3 linked regions of the Caenorhabditis elegans genome follow. The protein of the gene in region 3 purifies or fractionates together with the protein of the main gene of each other region. This does not show direct contact. Each region holds a gene or a part of one and is shown on either strand. Other genes may lie near its edges. The genes, in order: C02F12.8, Y54F10BM.3 and C09D4.2.

Evidence for each region.
Region 1: the proteins of C09D4.2 (region 3) and C02F12.8 fractionate together in Caenorhabditis elegans (co-fractionation; one large-scale study listed by BioGRID). This does not show direct contact.
Region 2: the proteins of C09D4.2 (region 3) and Y54F10BM.3 fractionate together in Caenorhabditis elegans (co-fractionation; one large-scale study listed by BioGRID). This does not show direct contact.

Annotation. Positions count from the first base shown.
Region 1 is NC_003284.9:3,687,776-3,696,477, forward strand, and holds C02F12.8 (uncharacterized protein), read right to left. Parts: upstream 5,464-8,702; 5' UTR 5,459-5,463; coding exon 5,357-5,458; intron 5,304-5,356; coding exon 5,052-5,303; intron 4,730-5,051; coding exon 4,220-4,729; intron 3,902-4,219; coding exon 3,432-3,901; intron 3,384-3,431; coding exon 3,076-3,383; intron 3,031-3,075; coding exon 2,771-3,030; intron 2,717-2,770; coding exon 2,555-2,716; 3' UTR 2,368-2,554; downstream 1-2,367. Other genes in the region: Putative protein tag-278, read right to left, coding at 1-158, 205-319, 366-685, 762-868, 1,346-1,369.
Region 2 is NC_003281.10:2,278,980-2,287,143, forward strand, and holds the start of Y54F10BM.3 (Tyrosine-protein phosphatase domain-containing protein), read left to right. Parts: upstream 1-3,045; 5' UTR 3,046-3,106; coding exon 3,107-3,179; intron 3,180-4,115; coding exon 4,116-4,167; intron 4,168-4,219; coding exon 4,220-4,294; intron 4,295-4,817; coding exon 4,818-5,112; intron 5,113-5,251; coding exon 5,252-5,405; intron 5,406-6,254; coding exon 6,255-6,453; intron 6,454-7,018; coding exon 7,019-7,284; intron 7,285-8,164. Other genes in the region: Y54F10BM.21 (uncharacterized protein), read left to right, coding at 130-244; Y54F10BM.23 (uncharacterized protein), read right to left, coding at 414-578; Y54F10BM.22 (Neuropeptide-Like Protein), read left to right, coding at 1,942-2,105, 2,607-2,742.
Region 3 is NC_003279.8:5,487,607-5,495,059, reverse strand, and holds C09D4.2 (DUF4773 domain-containing protein), read right to left. Parts: upstream 3,637-7,453; 5' UTR 3,561-3,636; coding exon 3,293-3,560; intron 2,877-3,292; coding exon 2,772-2,876; intron 2,602-2,771; coding exon 2,497-2,601; intron 2,443-2,496; coding exon 2,353-2,442; intron 2,120-2,352; coding exon 2,037-2,119; intron 1,990-2,036; coding exon 1,876-1,989; 3' UTR 1,797-1,875; downstream 1-1,796. Other genes in the region: C09D4.3 (Protein kinase domain-containing protein), read right to left, coding at 4,651-4,658, 4,707-4,863, 5,000-5,611, 5,690-5,804, 6,108-6,364, 6,418-6,479, 6,655-6,664; C09D4.9 (Protein AF-9), read left to right, coding at 6,902-6,931, 6,979-7,005, 7,056-7,124, 7,278-7,343.

The sequences.
Region 1 (8,702 bases), on a different chromosome or scaffold from region 3:
CCTGCTCTTTCTCCCTTTCGAATTTATCTTGGAGAGCTTGGAAACTTTTCATTCTTGCTTCAAAGTCCTTTTTGGCACCTAGCACTTCTTCAGAAAGGGCGATTATTTTACCAGAGTACTCAGCTTCTAACTTTCGCTCCCTTTCAGCAACTCGTTCTCTGAAAATAACTAACATTATTTCAAAATTGTATGCACTTTACAAACCTGTATTCACTGAATGTGCCCATGACGTTGTATTTTTGCCTTTCATACTCTGCCACAGTTTCTTCCAGTGTTTGAATTTTCCTTTTCAATTCGGTTTCTCGTCCAGCTGGCTGAGCTAGAATAATTTAATTGTTTCCAACTTTTCAATATTTTACACGTACGTGAATTATTTCTAGAAGTATTTCTCGATGATTCTCTTGCAACATGTGACAATTTCAAAATTGATAGCAATGAAGTGTTATCAATGTCATGCCTAGAACTTGCTCGTGAATGTTGGCTAACTGGAGATATTGGAGATGGTGAAATCGGGCCACTTGGTGCCCTCCGCAAAACTGGTGACGGGGGAGCTGGTCCTCCGACTGGTGTTCGAACATTTCCAGAGAGGCAACCTAGTTGATGCGCCGGTGGAGGTGCAGGCCAAGCAGCGATTTCAGGATGGGATTGTCTTACGAAAGGTCGAGTCACACCTACGGCTGGTTCACTGGAAAAAGAAAACGTTAAGGGTAAGGAGGTATCAAGTATCACATTTCGCAAACGAAAAGGAAAATGAAACTCACTGAGTTCCATGGGGCCTTGGAGATCTGCTCATTCTTCTAGGTGATCGACTTCCTGATGGAGATGCGGATCGGAGACTTCCATCAAACTCTTCGGATAATATACCAAGCTGAAACAGGTTACTACTAAAAGTTCAAGAAAAACAGTTGATGTTGCTGAGAAACCATCAGTTAGACTTAAAGGTTGAGTAAAAATCCGTTCTGAAAAATTCTAAAAAATTGTTGGAAAAAATACCTATTTTCTCAGGTTTTACACACTTATCGGTATCGAAGCGGACATAATCTTATTGTTATATAATTACGACTTTTTGTACCACATTTTTGTATTTTTACGCGTTGATTCATCGAATTATGCACCATATTTTCAAGTTAAGAAAGATTAAAATTTCAGCTGAAACTGCGCCTTTTCTCCAAAACTTCGAACAACTATAACTTTTAATTTGAGAAATATTTCGAATTTTTCTTAGCGAAACTTGGATAGCTGTGCATATAAATAAAGGCAAACCTTTAGGCTTACAATGCAGTAGCATTTTTAAAGCACACAGATTGGCTTAGTTTGAAAGCCTAATCAAATTGAATTTACTCACTCTTTCTCGTAAGCGCTCTGACATTGAAAAGGGCTTTGACAGCCCTCTTTAGACTGATTATCTGTGGTTAAGTGATGACGTGGCGCTGAAAATAGTTGAATTAAGTTTTATGTCTAGAACTAGAAAAAGTAAACGAAAAAATAAATAAGAGAACAGTTATATAAAAATAAATTAGGGATTCCTTTATCAGAAAATACAAATTCAGTAAAACAAAAGGTATAGAAGCCTAGAGGTTCTCGATATAATAGACAAGGAGTGATTCAGAAAGAGAGATGTAGAAGTGACTGGACACTTCCGAACGAGCAACTGTTCAAGAGAAGAGACTAAGAGATCCGGATAGAAGAGCCAACTGTTGCGCCTTGTAGTCGACATGATACTACTCAACACCGGCGGTGGATATACGAATGGACGTTGTGCCACTCACCCGGGAGGGGGAGAAACATCGAGACTGCTATATCAGATAATGAGTACGCACACAGCAGTGCACATAGGATACGTTGACAAGACCCGATGAATGTGATGACGGTGAGCATAACGCTGCCGAAATGTGTACGGATTGATTGAAAAATAGATTAAGGGGGCTATCAATTTAGATTTATTGCTTTAATTTTTCAATTTGTTGTAAGCCATAAGGAAAAAATGAGCAAAAGTTGTATCCTCTTCGATAGCGTTTTTTTTTTTCAAAAGATTTCGTCAGCCTAATTTCAAAACATACAGATTGGATAAAATGTTTCAATTTCAAAAATATTTCGTAGACAAAAATAGCTATATTTAACTTCTTCATCTAGTTTCACTTAAGCACGATCTCTTTTGATTTTTTGATTTTGATTTTGATTTTGGGAATTAAATGTTTGAGGTAATAATAAATAATCAACAAAATAATAATGTCCGTCTGTCCAGTTTGCCTAATTTGTTTGTGAAGTCAAAAACGCGTCTCTTGAGTTATTCAACCCTTTCTAAACTTGAATTTAAAATTGGTAGAAGTTTGAAACTGGTTAGAGCCTCTGAAAAGATGAAGAAATACAAGACTAGACATTTTTATTCTAAAAATCTCAATACATAAATTGATTTACCCATAAAGTCAATAAATTAAAATTGAAGACAATGACACGTAATTAAATGGACTGAAAAATACAACTGAATGGTCATGGTTAATCACAGTTAAAACATCTGATCACTGGGTACAATGTGTACAAACAATAACGGAATCTAGAAAAGGTTGAAGAAAATTTCTTCGTAATACTCTAATTTGTCAGTAGAATCGCTGGTGAGACCGGCCAAAAAGCATAGTTCCGGAAGAATAGCTGGCGGCAAGTTCAGCTGAAGTTGCTCGTAGATTGTAATACGCGAGAGACTTTGCGGACGTTGAACCTGTAAATAGTCAGTTTGAGACACTTAAAAGTACCAAAATTCATTAAAACTCACCATTTTGAATGCCAAAATGCGTTTTTCAATAAACTGTAACACTTTGTTCATTTCATTCGAATTTTCTTCCCAAGTTTTCACAAAAGTATCCACCGTTTCATAGAATTTTTGATATGAGAAATTTTCGTGAAAAATTGGACGACCCGATTCTGAAATCTTCTTTGCTCTGTTAGCAATTGCCATTTGAACTGCATGCAGGATTTGGGGACTGATCAACGATGGCGGTGGATTCGAGACGGGTCTTTTTCCTCGCTTCTTTTCTGAAATTGAAAATATTAGTACCAAATGGCGATGATGAATCTCACTTTGGTCTTTCTGTCCTGAGCTTGAGTAGTCACCACCAGCTTGCTCCACATGCTTCTGTCTTTCTCGATATGCTGCTTCCAGTACATCGTCATCAGTTTCCAATTGATTTGCCTTCTGTGCAGCCATAAGGCGCTTTTCTTTTTTTGTCAACTTTTTCCTGGCGTCGGGTAGAGCAATAGTTGATGCTTCTTTGCTATCCTCGTCAATGGTGGAAGCGGCCAAAGTCTGCTGACATTTTTGCAATGGTTTTTCGACTTTTGACAATGGCAGCGGGTAGACGAGTTTTTGTGTTTTCTGTGGTACAAAACTGAAAATTACAGAATTTATCATTTTAGCAGTAATATCAAAAAATCACCATTTCTTCCTGCCCGTCGCCTCCTGCCATGATTCCAAAACGTCATCCGACGTATCCAGATACTTAATGATTTCAGATATTGACGTATCCCTGTCATCATCAACAATCAACGAGTCAGTCGTCATTTCAGATACAGGTTCAGATTTGATTTCAACTACGCTCATGTTATCCGAGTGTTCCAAAGTTTCCGGCTCAATCAGTGTTTTCGAAAGATCAAGGTTCTCCATTATATCATCAACATCATCTAATGGTGGCATTTCAGACATTGTACTGCTATAAGGTTCTGGCTCATTTGCAACACTTTCCGTGTCTACTGAATCCAAGTCGCAATCTTGCTGACCAACAGGCGTCAACGTTCCATAATCTTCGTCTTCCGATTCTTCCCTGACACTATCAGTCATGGGTGATAACGAACCATTTCCAACACTAGATCCATTGATGGGCGGTCTGCTGGACATAGATATGTCGCTCTGAAAAAACCATTTTGTAATATAGCATTATAAATTAGTCAAGTGCTGCGTGAGTGTGTTCAAGTTTAAACATTTGATCATTATCACTTTCAGGAACATTTAATGATAGTTGTCATAAATTTAGGAGTGTGTCTGATATTCATGGTCAGACAAGAAGCGGGTTACTAAAATGGTTTTAGATGCAAACCAGTTAATCTCCCAACTTTTAAATTTTTCATATAACTTCCCTAAAAGCGGTCATGTTCAAATTTTCAAATTCTGGCATACCCAAGCAGCAGTTAAGTTGTTTTTGTTGTAGTCGATAATATTGTTTATTACCTGTCCGGAAGAAAACGATTGTGATGAGCATACTGATGATCCCGATTGTGACATGGAAACGACGCATACAGGTGCGCTGACAACTCGACAATATGCAACTCCATTGTTATCATAAATAATGTCTGGGAATCCTTCGTTGGCAGGTGGACCAGAATATTGACTGTAAGACGGTGATGGAAAGATGGGAGACGAGAATCCATATCCAGAAGGTGGCTTTGAAGTATCAATTTGAGGTGGTGACATTGAATACGATCCTTGCGAAACCATTACAGCTCCGACTGGCATCATGGTTGGTGGAGCTGGCACAAATTGGGGAGGATTGTAATTCTGGGAACCAACAGGCACGTGTGGATGCATAGGCTGGTTTACAATCTGTGGGTGTGCAAATCCTGAATTCGACGCTGCCAAATCCATAGTGTATGGAGGAACAGGTTGCGGAAAGACGTTTGGATTTGATGCAAACTGTGCCGGAGGTGGCATGTAATTACCATGTTGAGCAAATGGGTGTACCTGAAAATTGCAATTGTTTCAAAGTTTTAAAGAAATTCTTATGGCCTTGGGGTTTTTAAACAGTGAAAAACTACATTTCTAAAAATTAAAACTTGTTTACTCCTCTCGATTGAAAAAAAAACCGATTTTTTCCATTAAATCAACGAGTTTCTAAAATCATTAAAAGTTTAATTGTCAGCTTTTAGTTTCGCCGTTCGCTTAATTTTTATTGCAATCTAGTATTCCCATTTCAAAAAATTATCAACGAAATAAGCTTTCAAATTGCCTGAGATTGGAAATTCTCAATATCTCATGAACAAACTTTTCAAATTGAAAAACAAACCTTAAATGAAGCATCCAACGTGCTCACCAAATTGTTCTGATATCCGCAATTTTGATAAGGATTTGGGCACTGATTATTTTGGACGGGAGCGGCGAACTGTTGCTGCATGAGATCATCAACGTCTTTTGAGTTCAACAGAACCTCATTCTCAAAATTCCACAGCGCAATAGGATCATTTGATTCAAAAGCTCTTTGAACGATTTCCCCGTAACTTGGATCCAGACGATGAAGATTATTGTAGGAAAAGAGAATCTGTAAAAAATTATTATATATAAGAATATACAAACGCTCTAAACATTATGTACCTTCTCCAATTGATTTCTTCTTTGAACACTATTCCTGAGAAAGTCCTCATGTACTTCACTCGAGTGTCCTTCGGTTTTCCAGCGAGATCTATCGTTTTGCATAGCTTCTGAACAAAGTTAACATGAAAATTTGTCAGAGTTTAAAACAACTGATAGGTGCAATATTGAGAGCCTGTTAATAATTGAAAATTTAAATTGTAGGAAAAACCGAATAAAAAAAACATATAATTTAGTGCTTACAACATTCAGTTTTACTATTTATTTTATGAGTAAAATTATAACGAATAGAAGCTGGCGGTGTCACATTTCAAAACTAGATCAAAAGATTTGCTGAATTAAAATAAAAAAGAGAAATGTTATAGCTATTTGTTTGTTTTTAACCTACTCTTGTTACCGCAAAAAAACATTGTGAGCATTTTACACAAAATTATATAATTTTTGAATTTCCTTTGCTAGTAATTGTTGGGAAAAATCAAAACAAATTCTTGAAGCTAGATTGCATTCCAAGTAACATGGTTAGTTCAAAACATAGAATTTTATGAGAAATTCAAACTTTGAAAGAATCATGCATCGCGTTGGGGCTCTCGAAAAATAATGTCTAGGTATCTAGATAGCTAGATTCATATCATAGCTATAGATTTAATTTTTGCTTGTAACTACAATTGTGGAAAAATGGGAATATAAGAGTACCATTGAAAAAAATAGCACAATGTATAAATTGCACGGTTGGCATGCAAAATTTTGGTTGGAAATTCAATGAGTAGAGCTAAAAAAGTTTTAGTTTTGCCCAAGGATAAAAAAAAGGAAACCTGACTCAATTTCTGTCAGTGGAATTTCTAATTTGGTTAGTGCATTCTGATTTGGTCAGTGCAATTACTAATTTGGTCAGTGCTTTTCGACTTTGGTCAGTGCTTTTCTATTTTGGTCAGTGCTTTTCTATTTTGGTCAGTGCTTTTCTATTTTGGTCAGTGCATAATTTTAATTTCTAACCTATTATCTGATTGAAAAAAAATTAGGAGGAACGAAGTTGAAAACTGAGGTGAACAAATGAAAGTGAAAAGACGCGCACGCAGGTGGTGGTGCTTAGTGTTTATCGTCACCCACAACAATAACTGGGTGGGTAATATGGTGAGGAAGAGGACTCGTTGGACAGGGCAAAGGGCCCCTCGGCGGATGCCACGCACGCAGCACACAAAACCCCCCTACATTCGTTCGCGCGCACACTCATAGAACACTCACACACACGCACACACACGCTCACATATAGCCAACTGCACCCCCACGTCAACAAAACACAAACACACAAACACGCACACACATGCGCTCACACGACGACACGGCATCCAGAGGCACTAGCGCAGTTAATTTTTGACGCTCTAGACTAACAATGGGACTCTTTTAACTCAATGAACATATGACAAATGTTCACGGATTCTCGTGTGATTGCGCACGAAACAGAGCGTTACGGTGGGCGCAAGGCCGTTACGGAAAATGGTAATGACGGTCATAGGTCCAATTATTATACATATGTGATAGTAAAATGTAAACAAAAACTAGCATGTTCGCAGTAAGTTTCAGAATGTAGAGAAGAAAACAGAAATCTATGTGGAAATATAATCTAGCAATCATCCTGGAACTTATCAAATGCTTTCAATGTACGACAGGTGCTAAAAAATGTAAAAATGTAGCAGAAATTTCACAGAAAAGGTAAACTAAAATCATAAAAGAACTCGCACCCCCAATTTCGCAAGAATAATTGTAAAAAAAAACAGAAGGGAGGTCATGGATATTTTTAGTGCAGCGCGAGTAGATCAAAAAATTTTAATAAAAATTGCATCACAATTTTAATATTTATAATTGCTTTAAATGATAGAAAATGGGCTGTAAGGACAGATTACGACTGTAAAAAAATTATAAACTTTTTCTAAATTTTTTATGATTTCGGCCGAATTAAATTTAAATTTCTGCGCAAATGAGTGACGTCATTTTTTATACTTTCGCGTTCTCTCGCTTTCTTCGCCGTTTTTTTTTTTAATATTTTTTCTTCTATATCTTCTATATTTGATTGAAAATTTGATAACACAAAATACTTTTGCGGAAATTTCAAACTTTGCCCAAAAATCGACAGTGGAGTTTTTCAAAGATTTTGTTTTGGGGAAAAATATTTGAAAAAAATGGCGAACAGAGTTTTGAAAGTAATTTAGTAGAAAAAATCTAGAAAACCGAAAGAATTTAGCCAGACAACGCAAAAATATCGAAAATAGCGTCACTCATTTGCATGGGAAGTCAAATTTAATTCGGCCGATTCTTTGATTTTTGAAAATAGAAAAATATTTTAAAAAAATCATGAGAAATCTAAATAAATTTTCTACACTTTTTACAGATATATTCGATCATTACAATCCATTTTCTATCATATAAAGCGAATTTTTATTTATTTATTTGACTCTACTCCACCTTTTAGTTTGAAAATTGCTAAAAATTTACATCAATTTGCAACAAATCTCGAGAAAACAAGTTTCGAAAATTTTTCGAGAGGTCTCATACGGATTAGAAGCAAAAACTACACCAAGTTTTTTTCCAGAAACTAACATCTACTGCTATTTTAAAAATTGATACTTCACACTCTTGACATAATGAGCGATTAATTTGAATTATGAATTCATTGAACTTTTTGTTCTGCTTGAACGTCAGAATGTACTTTCTATGGCAACCTTTTTATGCGTTCGGGGCAAAATAATCAAAGAGTAGATTTACAAGTATTTCATAACAACAAACGTAGTAAGTTTCTTGAAAATTCTGTTTGGTAGCAGAAAACGTATGTACCAGTTCAAAAAAAAACGGATGGAGAGAAAACGCCTGATTCAACGATTCACTTTTCATGTGATAATCATCGATCTATTTCCCTTTCCACTATTGTCGCTTTTGTGTTCAAAAAAAAATTCCACGATAAAGTGCTGTTGAATTTATGATTGTCACGAGAATAAACTAACAAATTTCTAATTGAAAACAGGAAAAAAACCAGGCAAGCTTGAAAATCTTATAAAAAATATGCCTGAACATGCAAATAGAAGAAGAAAAGGAAGTTTTCCAGAGCGATTGAAATGAAAGTGAAATCAATAAAAAAGTGGAAATATTCTTGAGGAACAAAAAAAACTGTCTCGATCATGAAACACATCGGCAAACTGGATAGAATGGAAATTAATAAAGGAAAAATTTTCGATGATATAATCTATATTTATTATATATTTGTTATCCATTGGCTTGAAAGAAGAATCTTTGAATTAGTTTCACAAAAAAAGACAAAATAAAAATTCTGATCAGTCAGAATTTGTACAAAAAGTAT
Region 2 (8,164 bases), on a different chromosome or scaffold from region 3:
GTTTTTTACTCAAATGTGACTAAAATAGGGTTCATTAGAATGAATTTTTTATTTTTCAGAAAAGTTCAATAACTACAGTACCCCATGAGTTTTCGTGACAGGACCCTCATTTTTCCTATTTTTTTCCAGATGCGCTGACAATGCTATTAATTCAACAAACTGTGAGGAAATATTAATCAATAATTCAATACCTTCAAGTAATTTATTTTCAATGTTATTATTGTTTTCATTGATCTGGGTGTAAATAAAAACTTGATATTTTTTGATAATTTTGGGTCCCGCCACGAAAATTCCTGTATTTTTTTTTGTGATTTTTTTATTGGATTGAAATTCAATACTTTATAAACAAATTCAAAACAAGATTTTTGAAGAAAAAAAAATTAAACAAAAAATCAATAAAATGAATTTTTAAATTATTTCAAAGAGTCCTTGATAGCTCCAAATGGTCCTTCTTCGGGGCTCCAAATGCCTCCAAAAATCTGATGAGGTGGGCGTGGAGGAGGAGGTGGAATTCCTATTACAGTAGAGCATATTATAGAAAATATAGCAAAAATCTTGAAAAGTAGGGAAAAAATCATTTTTTTTTAAATTTTTTTCTACTTGCCGAGTTGAATTTTTATATACTGGTGAGATGTCAACAATTTCAAGCCAAAAAAACCGGTTTTCAGTAGCCAGTTTGCTGAAAATGGGAGGTGGAAAAGACGAAAATAAATTGATCAAAATTCAATTTAAGTACACATTTTGGGACATAAACTACAAAAAAGTAAATCCGGAAACGTAAAAAAATTTTTTTTTGAAAAATTTGGAAAAAAAATTTTTGGAACTTTTTTAAAAATTTTATAACTTTGTCAATTCTCAAGATTTTTGGCTCAAATTTGTTTTGAATAGTGCCCAAAATGTTTTCCTATACAATGTAATATTGTAGTTAACAAAAACCCGTAAAACTACAGTACCCCAATGCTTTTCGTGAGAAGACCCAAAAATTTTTTCGAAAAAATATTTGTTTTTCAAAACTTTATAACTTTGTCAATTTTCAAGATTTTTGACTCAAATTTATTTTTATTAAAGCTCTAAATATTTTTCTATGAAATCTGACAATAAAATTTAAAACAATTTATAAAACTACAGTACCACAACACTTTTCGTGGCGGGATCCAAAAATTTAACAAAAATTTTTTTTTGATTTTTTTTCAAAACTCCATAACTTTGTCAATTTTTAAGATTTTGAGCTCAAATTTATTTTGAATAGCGCTCTAAATGATTTTCTTTAAAATCTAGTACAGTAATTCATAGCAACTCATAAAACTACAGTACCAAAAGACTTTTTAAGGCGGGACCCAAAAAATTTTGAAAAAATTTTTTTTTCAATTTTTTCAAAACTCCATAACTTTGCCAATTTTCAAGATTCTGAGCCTAGATTAGTTTTAAATAGTACCCTCAATATTTTTCCATAAAATATAACATAGGAATTTACAAGAACCCGTAAAACTACAGTACCCCATAACTTTCCGTGTAGAGACCCAAAAAATTTTTGTTTTTTTTTTTGAAAAATTGGAAAAAAATTTTCAAAATTTTTTTTTTCAAACTTAAATTAATTTTACTGATTTTGTTGAAGTTTTTCGCTATATTAAAATTGATTTTAAAAAATCTGCACCCATTGCTTAGGTGCAAAATGTATCCCTCTACCCCTTTTCAGGTACACTAAGAATTCAGCGAATTCAGATTTGCCAAACATCAAAACAATGGAATTTTTCATTGTTTCTCACGTGTAGCAACTGATAAAAACTGATAAAAGATATCAAAATTGATCCTATGACGTCATCATGTCTTATGACGAATTCCACCCCCCGCTGACTGTGAGAAAAGTATTTAAAAACTTGATTTTTCAAGTTTTTCCCTAAAAACTTTTTACACTTTCTCTATGTAAAAGTTCAAAAAAACATGCGAAAAACTACAGTAACCTTATTATTTTTGATATTTTTTATTCAAATTTCTGAAATTCTGACTCTACCTATCAATTATGGTGCATCGTTGAACTCTGTACACTCGGATGACCTGAGTGCTGAGGATTATCAAGTTTTGAGGAAAAATGAGACAAAAATTGAGTAAGTTCATTGATTTTTTGCTAATAGAAAGGTTTTTGAAATTTTGGAAAAATTAAAAAAAAAATTTTTTTGAAAAAAACTTGTTTAAAAATAATAATTCCGCCAAATTATCGATTTTTTTGGTCGAAATCTCAAGTTTTAAATGTTTTCTTTAATTTTATTGAATTCAGCGTCATTGATTACCCCTATCCCAAAATTTTGGGCCTTCTAGCTCAATTTTCAAGAATTGGCTGAGTAGCGACCCATTGCGATACGGAGTTTGGTCAGTTTTAGTGCAAATGGCTAAAAATTTAGGATTCTGGGTTTCCAAGTATGGCAAATTTAATGATAATGTTAGTTTTTCAAAACTATGACTCCGTATCGCAGTTCTGAGTCGCTACTCAGCCAAATTTCAAAATTTTGAGATTTTGAGCTAGAGCTCTGAAAACCTATAGATAAGGGTAATCAATCACGCTGAATCCAAAAATAACTTCTAAAACCAAAAATTTTAATTTTTTCCAGAAGAATCCACAGAATTCAGCAATTTTTCAAAGCGGAGCACCACGAATCCACGTGGCGAGACTCGATTTGCAGTGCATTCCACTCGTTTTCACTGTTCCCGCCAAACTGCTTTGCGGCTCCGCCAAACGACAAATAAATCGATATTATTGATTTATGAAATGACATGATTTTTTTCTACGACGCACAATAAATTTTTGTGATTTTCTGATTTTTTTTGATTTTTTTTTGGGTCTCGTCACGAAAAGTTGTGGGGTACTGTAGTTTTTACCGGAATTTCTAAAATTTTTATTTTATCTTTTACGTGGGTAGTTTTCGCACATTTTAAGCCAAAAATGAACAAAATATCTCAAAAACTAAAAAAGTTACAAAATTTTTAAAAAATTGAATAAAAACGTAAAAACTCAAAAATTGCCAAAAAACATTCCACGTCGGGAACCACGTCGTTTGATTTTCGAAAGTCGATAAATCGATATTGAAAAATTTATTTCACAATATTCAAGATGAAATTGTGGTCGATTTTATTGGTGACCATATCGATTTTTGGCATCTGCCACGTGGAACCATATGAGCTAAGTAAGTACGGGGGTTTGACGCCAAGATACGGTTCGATTCTACAAAATTATCGGATTTTTCGGGAAATTATCGATTTTCTTGAGAAATTATCGATTTTCTGGCGGAAATATCGATTTTCTTGCTAAATTATCGATTTTCTTGCGAAATTATCGATTTTTTCGCGAAATTATCGATTTTTTCGGGAAATATTGATTTTCGGGAAATTATCGATTTTCTGGCGAAATTACCGATTTTTCGCGAAATATTGATTTTTTCGCGAAATATTGATTTTCGGGAAATTATCGATTTTTTCGCGAAATTATCGATTTTTCGCGGAATTATTGATTTTCTGGCGAAATTATCGATTTTCTTGCGAAAATATCGATTTTCTTGCGAAATTATCGATTTTTGGCGAAATTATTGATTTTCTTGCCAAATTATCGATTTTTCGCGAAATTATTGATTTTCTTGCGAAATTATCGATTTTCTCACGTGTCGAAAAGTTGCCCTTATTTTTTATTTCTGTCAAGAATGCAATTTCAGGATTTAATATAGGAAGAGGCAGATTTTCTTGCGAAATTATCGATTTTTTCGCGAAATTATCGATTTTTTTCCCGAAATTATTGATTTTCCAGGAAATTATCGATTTTTAAAAAATTATCGATTTTTAAAAAATTATCGATTTTTAAAAAATTATCGATTTTTAAAAAATTATCGATTTTTTGCGTAATTACTGATTTTCGATAAATTATCGATTTTTTCGCGAAATTATCGATTTTTGATATTTTCGATGAACACGTGGAGTTTGTTATTTATTTCTTTTTGAAAATGACGTGGAGAGGACGGTAAAAAAAAGCCACGTGGCCATTGCGATTGCGAAATTATCGATTTTTGATAATTTATCGATTATTCGCGAAATTATCGATTTTTCAACAAAAATTTATTGATTTTTTCCAGGTTTCGTCGATTGGCCTACACCCGCCCCGCCGACCTCAACAACTCCACCAGTGTAAGTCTATCCGTTGTCCCGTTAGTTTATCCCGATGACCGCTCTTTTTCAGATCCTCAACCAAACCACCACCTGCTGAACAGTTTAATTCGCTGACCGACATTCTCGACCTAATTCCAATCGAAGTGTAAGTTGTGAAAATTTGACATCGATAATTGCTCGGCGGCGAAAAATTGGTTTTTTTTTTTCGAAAAATCGATAATCTATGTTGATTTTATTGATTTTTTTGGTCGGATTTTTGAAGAAAAATCAATAATTTTTATTGATTTTTTGTTCAAAAAATCGATAACTTGCGTCATTTCTTTTATCGAAAATCAGTAATTTCGCAAAAAAATCGATAATTTCGCAAGAAAATCAATAATTTCGCAAGAAAATCGATAATTTCGCGAAAAAATCGATAATTTCGCAAGAAAATCGATAATTTCGCAAGAAAATCGATAATTTCGCAAGAAAATCGATAATTTTGCAAGAAAATCGATAATTTTGCAAGAAAATCGATAATTTCGCGAAAAAAATCGATAATTTCGCGAAATTATCGATTTTCTTGCGAAAAAATCAATAATTTCACGAAAAAGTCGATAATTTCGCGAAAAAAATCGATAATTTCGAAAGAAAATCGATAATTTCGCAAATTTTCTGTAATTTTTCAGCTGGCTTGTTGTACTTTTCCTGGAATCTGCGTTTGTTGGAGCATTTGGAGCATATTGCTACTGGAAAGTTCAACAATGGCGCGACGAGAAAATGGCAAGGGAAAAGGCTTGGGAAAGGCGTCTGGCACGAGTTTCTGAAGTTTCGGCTTCGAAAAATCGAAACGCTGGAGGTGTGGATCCTGCAAAAAGACCGAGAGAATCAGCCAAATGGCTGAAACATGTAAAGGAGGTGACGCTGAAACGGGGTGGAGTCGAGCTGCTGCCGATGGAGGATGTGATCGTGAAAAATAAAGAGGTAGAGATTTTTCCGAAAAAATTTGAAAATTTACGTGTCAAAAATCAAGGAAAAATCTTGAAAATGAACAAAGTTATGGGTTTTCGAAAAAAAAATTTTTTTTTGAAAATTTTTTTTGTAAAAAAATTTGTTTTTTCAGAAATTCAAAAAGCCACAAAATGAGCTTCGAGAAAATGAAGTGTGGGTGGAAAGACAAACGGGCCCTGATATTGATAAAGATTCGGACCCAAAGACGGAAAATGCATTGGATGAGCAGGATTATCAGCTGGAAGATGGATGGCACGGCAAGTCAGGTATGGTTTTAAAATCAGGTTTTAAGAAATTTTACTTTAAACATTGCAAGTTATTAAATTAAACATTAAACTCACAAAAAGATTGCGCTCATTTTAAGACTATATTCAATCGAATATCTTTAAAATTCGCAGAGTTATGTAGTTTTGAAAATAAAATTTGAAAATTTGAAATTTTTTTTTAAATTTTTATTTTCTTGAAAGCTCGAGCTAACTTTCAATTCAAAACCGATTTGGCGTGAATTTTCAGATTTAGCACGCCTAGAGCTTTCAAATAACACCCATCATGACTAGGTTTCGCCTGTTTTGGGTCCCCAAGTTTTCAAAGTGGACGGAGCTTAGTCAATATGGGTGTTAAATGGAAAGTCTTGACACGCTGAATTAAAAAATGAGCAAAAAATTGTAAAAATTTTTTATGTTTTCCAAAAATCTCAAAAAAAAATTTTTTTTTTTTTAATTTTTTTCTAAATTTTTAGACTTTTTTTGCACCAACTGAGAAATAATTAACAAATTCAAAATAATCACATTGAGACCTTTAAAATAAAACCCATCATGACTAGGTTCCGCACATTTTGGGTCCCGCCACGAAAATGCCGCCGGGAGTACTCTGGTTTTCGTGGTGGGACCCAAGAATTTGCAATTTTTAATCTGAAACGTTCAAATCGGTTTCGTAGAAAATTTTAAAAGTTTTTGAAACAAAAATTTTGAAAAAAAATTTTTTTTTCGAAATTAATTTTTTTTGGAAATTTTGAAATTTTGTTTTTTTTTCTACTTTCAAGCCAAACAGTCCAATTTTCATTCAAATTCAAAATTCCAATTACAGTAACCTACAGTAACCTACACAAATTTCAGCTCTCAACATCACACGTAAAGAATTCAAAAAGCTGTTCACCAAAATGAGCTATAGCCCGTCGATGTGCTCTATCATACCGGGAAAAGAACGCGATCCGTCGAAAACTGTAATCGCAAATTGGTTCGAATGGTGTCAGCCAGAATTTGAAATTCCGATTGAGCTGACAGCGATGAGCGCAGGAAACCCCAAGCTTTGCAGGTGATTTTTCGGCAAAATTTTTTTTCGGCTGAGGAATTTAGAGTTTTTAATTCGAAAATTAGATTCAGCTGCTCATTAGCTTTCAAATGACACCCATCATGCGACCGCTTTGGGTCCCGCCACGAAACCCAACCTGGGGTACTGTAGTTTTCGTGGTGAGACCCAAAATGGGCGGAAGTTAGGCATGATGGGGGTCATTTTGAAGGTCTCAACGTGCTAAATTCAAGTTTTTAGATAAAATTTAAAGAAAACAGATACTTTCTGAAAATTTTGAAGTTCTAAAAAAAATTTAAAAAACTTTTTTTTTAATATTTTAATTTTTTGAGACCAATTTTATTAAACTTCCAAAATAAGAAAAATTCTACATTTTTTTTTTTTTGAAATTTATACATTTTTTGTGCGTCAAAGCCAGTTTTTGGGGGGGGGTCATTTGAAAGGGTATGACGTGATAAACTTAAATTATTGCACAAATTAGTAGAAACCAAAAAACTCTTCAAAAAGTTGAAAAAAAAATTCTGCAAATTTTTTTATTATTTTTCAAATTTTTCAACGTTTTTTTTTCCAGAGACCCAAAAGTTCAAGCATGGGATTCAACATCGTACTTAGTTGATGACACCCATTTCATCCATGCCTCAACCGTAACAGCCCCTGGAAAAGAGTATATTGGAAAAGCGATCATTTGTCAGGCGCCGTTTGACGATAAGGAGAAAGGACATCCGGATACACGGGAATCTTTTTGGCGAATGGTTTGGGACACGAGAGCTACTTATGTGGTGATGTGCTGTCAGATTATGGAGAATGGAGTTCAGAAGTGTGGAAGATATTTTCCAGGTTAGACTTGAAAAACCCTATTTTCTTAGATCTTTCTTAACTCAAAAACTAGAAGAGCTATAAAAAAGTTGTTAACTGTAAAATTGTAGCCCGTATAATTTTACACATTTTGTTAGTTGAAAACTTTTTGATAGCTTTCAAACTGACGAAGTTATAAGAGTTTGAAACTGAGAACTCGACTTTTTTTCGAAAAATGATTGGCTCAGCCGGTAACAGGTGTGGTTGGTAGAAAATAGGCCGAAGGTTTGATCCCCGTAGAGGTCAATTTTGTTTTAACGATATTACACGTTTACTAGGTTTTGGAGTCATTGGCTTATCGGGAACAAGTATTTTTGCTGAAATTTCTAGTTTTTTAAAACAATTTTTTGATAAAAAATTGATTTTCACAACTTAAAACAATTTTTTACACGATTTGGTATACATTTTCGGAATCTCCATGAAATTTCACACTGGAAACTTTTTTTTTTGAAATTTGGAAATTTCACCTTTGGCTCAGTCGGTAGCATGGATGACTGGCGTGAAATAGGTCCGAGGTTCGATCCCCGCAAATGACAAAATTTTTGTTTTTACGATATTGCAAGTATTCTATGCTTTGGGGTCATTGGCTCGTCTGGGAAATGTTTTTTTGCTGAAATTTCTAGTTTTTTCACAATTTTTCGATAAAAAGTTGATTTTCACAACTTAAAACAATTTTTTACTTGATTTGATGTACATTTTCGTGTTTTCCATAAAATTTCACATCGGAATCCTTTTTTTTTTTGGAAAGTTTTAAAATTACTCTTTTGGCTCAGTCGGTAGCATGGATGACTGGTGTGAAATAGGTCCGGGGTTCGATCCCAGAAGATAGCAAAATTTTTTGTTTTTCACGATATTACATGTT
Region 3 (7,453 bases):
CGAATACGAAAAACTTTTAAGTAAAGTTTTTGGAGCGAAATTTGAAGAAGATTATTGACGTTACATATAAAAGAAAAATATTAAAAAAACCCCGTTTTAGTTAGTTTTTGTTGAATATGCAATTCCGCAGTTTCGGACGAAAACCTTGCAGCCAAAACAAAAATTTCAGCGTAGCTACAGGTATCAAAAGTCTTTTGTAACTTCCTGTTCGTAAATATTTTGTTCTTCTTCTGCGAAAAGTTCGTTAGAATGCCTCATTTCTACCACTTTTTATGATAACTTGGTTGGGTGCTATAATTACTGTAGAAATTTCCGTAATAAGCTCGATAAAATTGATTATTTTCTGATTTTGATAGGTTTACCCACTGCAAACACTGTTTTTCTACACAAAAAAAGATTCTTATCTTCTTGGCGCCATTTCAGGCGCACTTAGATACCTAACTCAAAATAGATGAAGTTGTAACTTGGTTCCTTTATTTTCACAATTGCAGTAAAAGAAAGCTAAATGAATCTACCGAAAAAAAACCACAAAATAACAAAAAACTGCGAGATGAGAGGGGAAAATTCGGAAAGAGAATGAGAGCAACAAATTTTAATTGGCCTCTTTGAGGTGTGATATTGAAACAACATTTGGGGAAGAAAACGGACCTTTGAGACAGCTGTTCAAATTATTTTTTGAATGAATGAAAAAAGAAATCTCATGGACAAAAAGATTGGCAAGAAAATATCAAAAGAGAGAAAATAGATATCATCAATGAAAGTGGAATAAGATTGATTGCAAAGAGCAAATCACAAGGGTTATGGAGGAGTGGAACAAGAACATTTCTTTACGACAGGGCACAGAACACATCTAACTACCGTAGTCTGTACAAAAGAGAACTGTGTTGCTATAATTAATTGTCACCCTGTAGTAAGTTATGACTCATATATTAGTATATGCTTCAATTAAGTTTCGCTAGGTGGCAAAAAAAAAGAAGAAAAAAATCAACTTCAGAGGCTCAGATCCGTTTGTATTTTACAGGAAATTGTTGTGTCGAGACCGGGTATCTTTTTTTTTGAGGCAAAAATTTCAGAATTCCGCGTCTAAGTAATATGAAAACAAACAATGATTGAAAATTAATATTTATCGAAGAAAAAGAAAATAATTTTACAATAAAATACAATAGTTTTCATAAATCCTGATGACCAATGATGACACGCAAATCCTCAGCACAACCCAACAGCGAACAAGCTAACTTCCCAGCGAATAATTTCCAGAGGATGGAGTCATACATGCAGTTTGGATAGAGATCGTCAATCTTTGTTGCCGATAGAACTGCTTTGAAAGCATCGGAAAAGATATGAAATGTTGTTTTTAACTATGAAAATCCAATTCACACAAACCTTCCCATCAGATTCTGGACAGTCGTCACCATGCTTTACAAGTACCGACATGTGATCATACATCCTCTTCAAGGTCTCAATTTCCTCAATATCCCTTTTGCTACAGTCTTTTTTTAAAATAAAAGTTTTAAAAAAATTTCACACATTTTTCATCTTGTCAATATCCGTCGCAAACGTGGCAAATAAAATAATATCACCCCAGTTTATCTACTGAATCCTGTGTCACTCTGGATATATTGTTCCCGTTGAGTACATTGTCACCCAAAACTTGATCATCTCAAAATAAAGTCTATCAGAATCATCTCCAGTAGAAGAAATGAAAAACCACTATTGGGAGTGTAGATGGGCGATGAAATAAGCGAATGCAGACGAACGAGAAGCTTCGTCTCTGAAAATCAAGCAAAGAGCAAAACCAAAAAACATAACTTTTTCTGTTTGATTTGACATAACAGTTTGCACCAAACTGTTACAACATAACATATTTGTTTAATTTCAGATTGGCATTCTAAAACATCCAAGCTTGAAAGTAAGAACTCTTAAATGAATTAATTCCACTTCGAAATCCATGCATCCGGAAAGAATTTTCTCCTTCTTGTCCAAGTCCAACTGAATAAATAAAATTGGAATTTTCGTGTTACCAGAAACAATTTTACCTTTGTGAATGCCACACATACTCCTGCAATGTGCTCTGCGCCGGGAATCGGAAGAGAAAAACAGACTGGTGGGGGGTTTCTCACTGAAAATTATTAACAATTGTTTTTTTATGTGAAACAAAAGTTCTGTGAAATTTATATTTAAATAGCAAAAAATTAGCAGAGTTAGAAATTCGCGAGTTTGAAAGTTGGATTAGTAGTTTCAACTCGCTTTTTCTGAATTCCTTTTGTGGGATATCTGAATTTGAGAATTATTTAAACATATTCATATGGAACCCATTTGACCGCGTATTCCATCTTAAAGTTCTTTACATACAAGATATTTCTTCACTGAAATAATGTCCATCAACTCCAATCGACAAATCCAAGCCAATGGAAACTGGGTTATAGGTTGCATTGACACAAACTGAATTAAAAGTATTGGAAAATTAAGAAAACAAAATTTAAGGAAAACTATTACCTGAATGTCTGAATTCTGGAACAGAAATTTCTAGGCAGCAAGCACAATTTCCGTGTACACAAGCACATCCGTTCTCGTTTGATGAACCAGTTCTCAGAGACAGTTCTGGAAAGGTTTATTACAATTTTAATTAGCCTTTATGTATTTTTTTTTTCTCATTCCGAATTTCAGTTTTTTAAAGTTTTGTTTTGGCTTGCTGGCTTGAGGCTGCTTGAGCAATTGTCTTTGTTAACAACGTAAAACAGAATACAATTTTCAAAACCTTTTCAACAGACCTTTCCGAACAACTTGCTTCGAAGTGGATACTTTCATTTTGTATGAATCCGTGTGCACAGTCATATGAGTTGTATTTCTATTACCCAAGGAAACTATTATTTCATCTGAAAATTAAAATTTTTAGAAAACAAGAGGATTGCTGCTAGTCAGTAAGAGTTTGGCAAATTGCCAAATTTTCGATAAACTCGGTTTTTTTTTCGGAAATTTTGAACGTTCTTGCACTATTTTTCTTAACAAAAAATATTTCTTAACTTGATTAAAATATAAAAGTCGTAGAAAACATTTTGCCTATTTGGTAGAAGAATTTTTTTTTGATTTCAGAACTTTTTCAGATAAATTTTTTGGAACATTCGAATATTCCAAAATTATAACAGTTGAGAACTGAATCAATACCATTTTTAAATGTTATTAAAAATATCAAACCAGTTTCGCAAAGTTTTACTGTGAAAATTTATCATTTTAGAATCATAGGAGTCATACCATAGGGCGCTAATCCACTTTTAAATTTCAAAAAACTTACTCTGATTAGCTCCATCGTCTCCCAATTTAAAAATGATTTTGTCAATTTTTTCCGATAATCGGAGTCTTCCATTCAATTTCGATGAGTTTCCATTAAATTTCACATATTTCGAAACAATATCCCATTTTTTGTTGAGAATATCGATTGAATTAATATTTTTGTTGAAATCTTTCACAGAAAAATCCACAATATTTTGATTATTCTCAACTGCTGAGGTGGAAATTAACGGTAGGATAAGCAGAAGAAAAACAGAAAGAAAGAGGTGCATTTTGGAAAAGAAATGAAGATTTGGACGAATGAAAAGGGAGAAGGTCAGTTGACTCTGTTACACAACCAGATGTTCTCCCAATAAATAAATCAAAGATAACATCTGCGGATATGTTTTTTTTGACAACTGGCTAGAATGATGAGCTTGAATCGATGGTAAAGATTGATGCGGTAAACATAAATTACAATAATTTGTTTATTAATTTCCTTGAATAAATAGGTTTCCAATGCTGAAAGGTGGAGTACGACATGTTGTAAAATTATTAAGATCCACGCAATCGAAATATCCAGCAGTGCTTTAAAATCCTTGAAAAGTTTGGAAAAACTTAATTTTTGCCCCTGTTTTACTCGAAAAAAAATATCAGAAAAGAAACTTCGGTACAAATTCAATTTGTTCAGAAGAGTACAGTGCCAATCTGCTATGAGATATCCATTCATTCTGGGATTTCCAGACATTTTCAAACTTGTTAACCAAAAAATCAGTATAATAATTGGATTAAGCATATCAAATTACATCTATAACTATAATTTCATTTTAAAATTTCAATAATTGAGAAAATAAGAAAAAAGTTGGAAAAGTGACATGCTATATTCTTGCCTTCAAGGCCGGATTCCTCTACCACAATTTTAAAGAATATTAATTCAGATTGAAAGTTGGAAAACTTGGTTCACGCTTCACTCAAGTGTAATCAAAGTTTGATCCAACTTTCCGTCAACATATCACTTCTAGAAGATTCCAGGAGACTATGTTTTGCCAAAGTTTGGCTCAGGTTTAACCACTTCTAATCCAAGTTAATATTCAATTTGCCAAACTTGGGAAAGAAACTAACGCCGTGATAGTTGGAACTTACAATAAGATGTAAAATACTTTTAAAAAAATACATTTATTTACACAGCACAAAAATCTAGTAGTATAGTTGAAACCAAACGACGACGATGATGATAATGAATACAAAAAGAGGCAATCGGTTCTTTACTTTGGATTGGAAAAGAGTGAGAGAAAGAGGAAATTGAACTGGAAAGTGCTCGATTCGATTCGAGATTTGATGAGAAGAGTAGTGATGAAGAACAGTTGTGAGACGAGTATATGCCTATTGGTCTGAAAAATGTATATTTTGATATAGAAAATAAAAACAATAAAACATACTCTCACAGGCACGATCAGTGTAGTTAGTAGCTCCTTGTTCAGCCATAATTGCCATATCAGACATGACAGAAGCTGTTTCGGTGAGCTCCGAATGTTGAGATTCTTCCACTTGCCAGTCCCACTTGCAACGATCAGGAATCATATTTTCCATACGAATCTGGAAAAGTAAAGAACATATTATTGTTTAATTGTAAGGAATATGGAACGTTAGGTACTATCTAATTTATTAGAAAGGTGATTAGTAAAGTGCTTGGATCTAACTAAAAATATCCATCTAGACTAATTTTAGTTACCTCATTAATCAATGCCTTCAAATGTCTGTACTCTGGTCTGATTTCGAATGAGTATCCATCGATCATATCCATGATCGTCTCAAACTGTCTTGGAGTTCGATTGAAGAACAAACGACGAGATTCATTTCGAATTGAGAGCTTCGATTGTCCAACAAGTGTACGATCAGACATATGACGCCATGGCAACTCTCCAACCAACATCTCAATGAGCATGTAGAACCAGCATTCAACATCATCACGTCTTCCAAGATCCATACGTTTGTGTGCTTGGAGACTTCCATATCTTACAGTACCTCTCCATCCAACCTCTCCACGAGACTTCAGCTTCTTGTTATCACGATCAATAAACTTCTTCGCAAGTCCAAAGTCAAACATGAAAATTGTCTTATGCTGTCCATTGTCGCGTTGTCCTGGAGCAAAGTTGCTTGGCTTGACATCACGGCTCAGGTATCCAATATTGTGAAGCTCTTCAATAGCTTCAATAGTTTCAAGAGCAATCTTTGTAGTCGTATTGAGAGTGAATGAACGAGTCGGTTGTTCGGCACGAAGACGGTAGAGATCTTTTCCAAGAATACTGATTATCATGTAGTTGTATTCACGACGGATGGTTCCCTAAAGTTTGATACGTTTTTTTGATTTTGTAATCCAAAATCCAAAATCCATGAATTCATAGTCTATGATATAACTTACATAATCAATGATATCACAGAAATGAACTCCATTGTGGCGTCTGATACTCAACAAAACCTTAATTTCCATTGGAAGCATCCCTGTTGAATACTTTTCGGCTTTGATTGCAACACTTCTGAAATAGTTCATTTTTCATAGAGATTCAATTCAGAGGAGCTAATTTTCAGAAAGTTTATTATTGGTTTGTTCTGAAATTTAATGAAGTGAGTAAACTAGAAAATGATCTACAATTCTGGAAAAGTAATAGGACATTTATTTGAGATGTACGCATAATGCCTCAAAGGGCATTATGAACCCATGGTACGATGTGGTAGTTTTCAGAAAACCACATAAATTTTGCGTGGAATAGTTCGCGTGACGCACTTCTTTTAAAGTTGCCGCGATTTGGAAAGAGCAAAAAACCAAATAAGCTACAAACCTGCCACCAAAAATGCTCAGAAAAACATGTCCCATTGCACCATCGCCCAGCTTCTGACGCAAAATGAAACGATCTCCTTTATCATTTTCAAAATATTCTCCAACCGTCGGAAGACGATCCTTTCTCTCCGGCTTATCCTTAATCGCCGGTCCACGATGACGTGGCTCGGGAGCTGGAAGCTGATGAGCAGCGATGTGCTCCATTGCGACAGACTCTTGAGCCACCACGAGATTTGCTTTAGAGCGTTTGTGGTTCAACTGAAATGATTTGATATTCTAAAGATGAAGAGAGATCGGAAGCTTGATCGTACATTTTCCTCGGCAACCAATGTTGGAGTGTTGGGAATTTGAACCATGTCGGTTTGATCCAACGCTGAAAATAAGTATTTGAAGAATTGATTAGAAAATGTCCAATGTAAATCTATAGACTATTTTGAATGCTTTAAAGTACAATTCATATTTACAATAGTCCAATATCCGCATCTCAAAAGTTCTAGAAGATTCCAGGAGATTTCTAAAACGTAAATCTCCAGCTGAAAATGACTTACCAGTCGCCATGATGATCACAGTAGAACTTTAATCCTTCGAAAACTGAGTGTGATAAATTCAGTATTGATTTTTTTTCCTAATCTTCAAAGTTCATCTGCCCAAAAAAATTCCAACAAGTGTGACACGGGGGCGGGTCACAAACAAAAACGTGAGATGTTATTATTTTAAGTCTTCTAGAATTCATTCTCCGTTACCGAGAAAACAATTTTTGACGTTGTTGTTTGCATTGATTCTCTTCTGAAAATAATGGGACAAAAGTGGAGTGGAACAGTTTCGGTAAGAATTTTAATATTGGAAATGTTCATTTTATTGTTCTGTTTCAGAAAACACCATCGAATCCAACTGTCTCTGTATGTGTTTTGTTTCAGAAAAATATCTAAAAAACTCAATTTTTGTTCAGAAATCTTCGTCGGCACCATCTTTAAAATCAACGCCGAAATCGGATAGAGAAGACCAAGAAAAGTCTAAGGTAAATCCTCTTCCCCTCAATAGTGGCCGAGTTTTCATTTTCACGGTCACTAATGAACCTTTGCCTAATGTTGCCACGTAACAGAAGTTCAATGAAGTTTTTTTAATCAAAATTTTGATAATGGCATGCTTCCGAAATACTTTTAATTTTCAGAACATGAAGCCATCGTCGTCGAGCAGTAATAGTCACCGGGCAGACCCTCCGAAGCCTAAAGAAGATGTAGGTTCTTATTTTACTGTGATTCACTAGTAGGATACGCTATATATGTTTCAAAATGTTTCGTGTATGCTCCTTTAAGATTACTGTAGGAAATTTCCAGGAAATTTCCA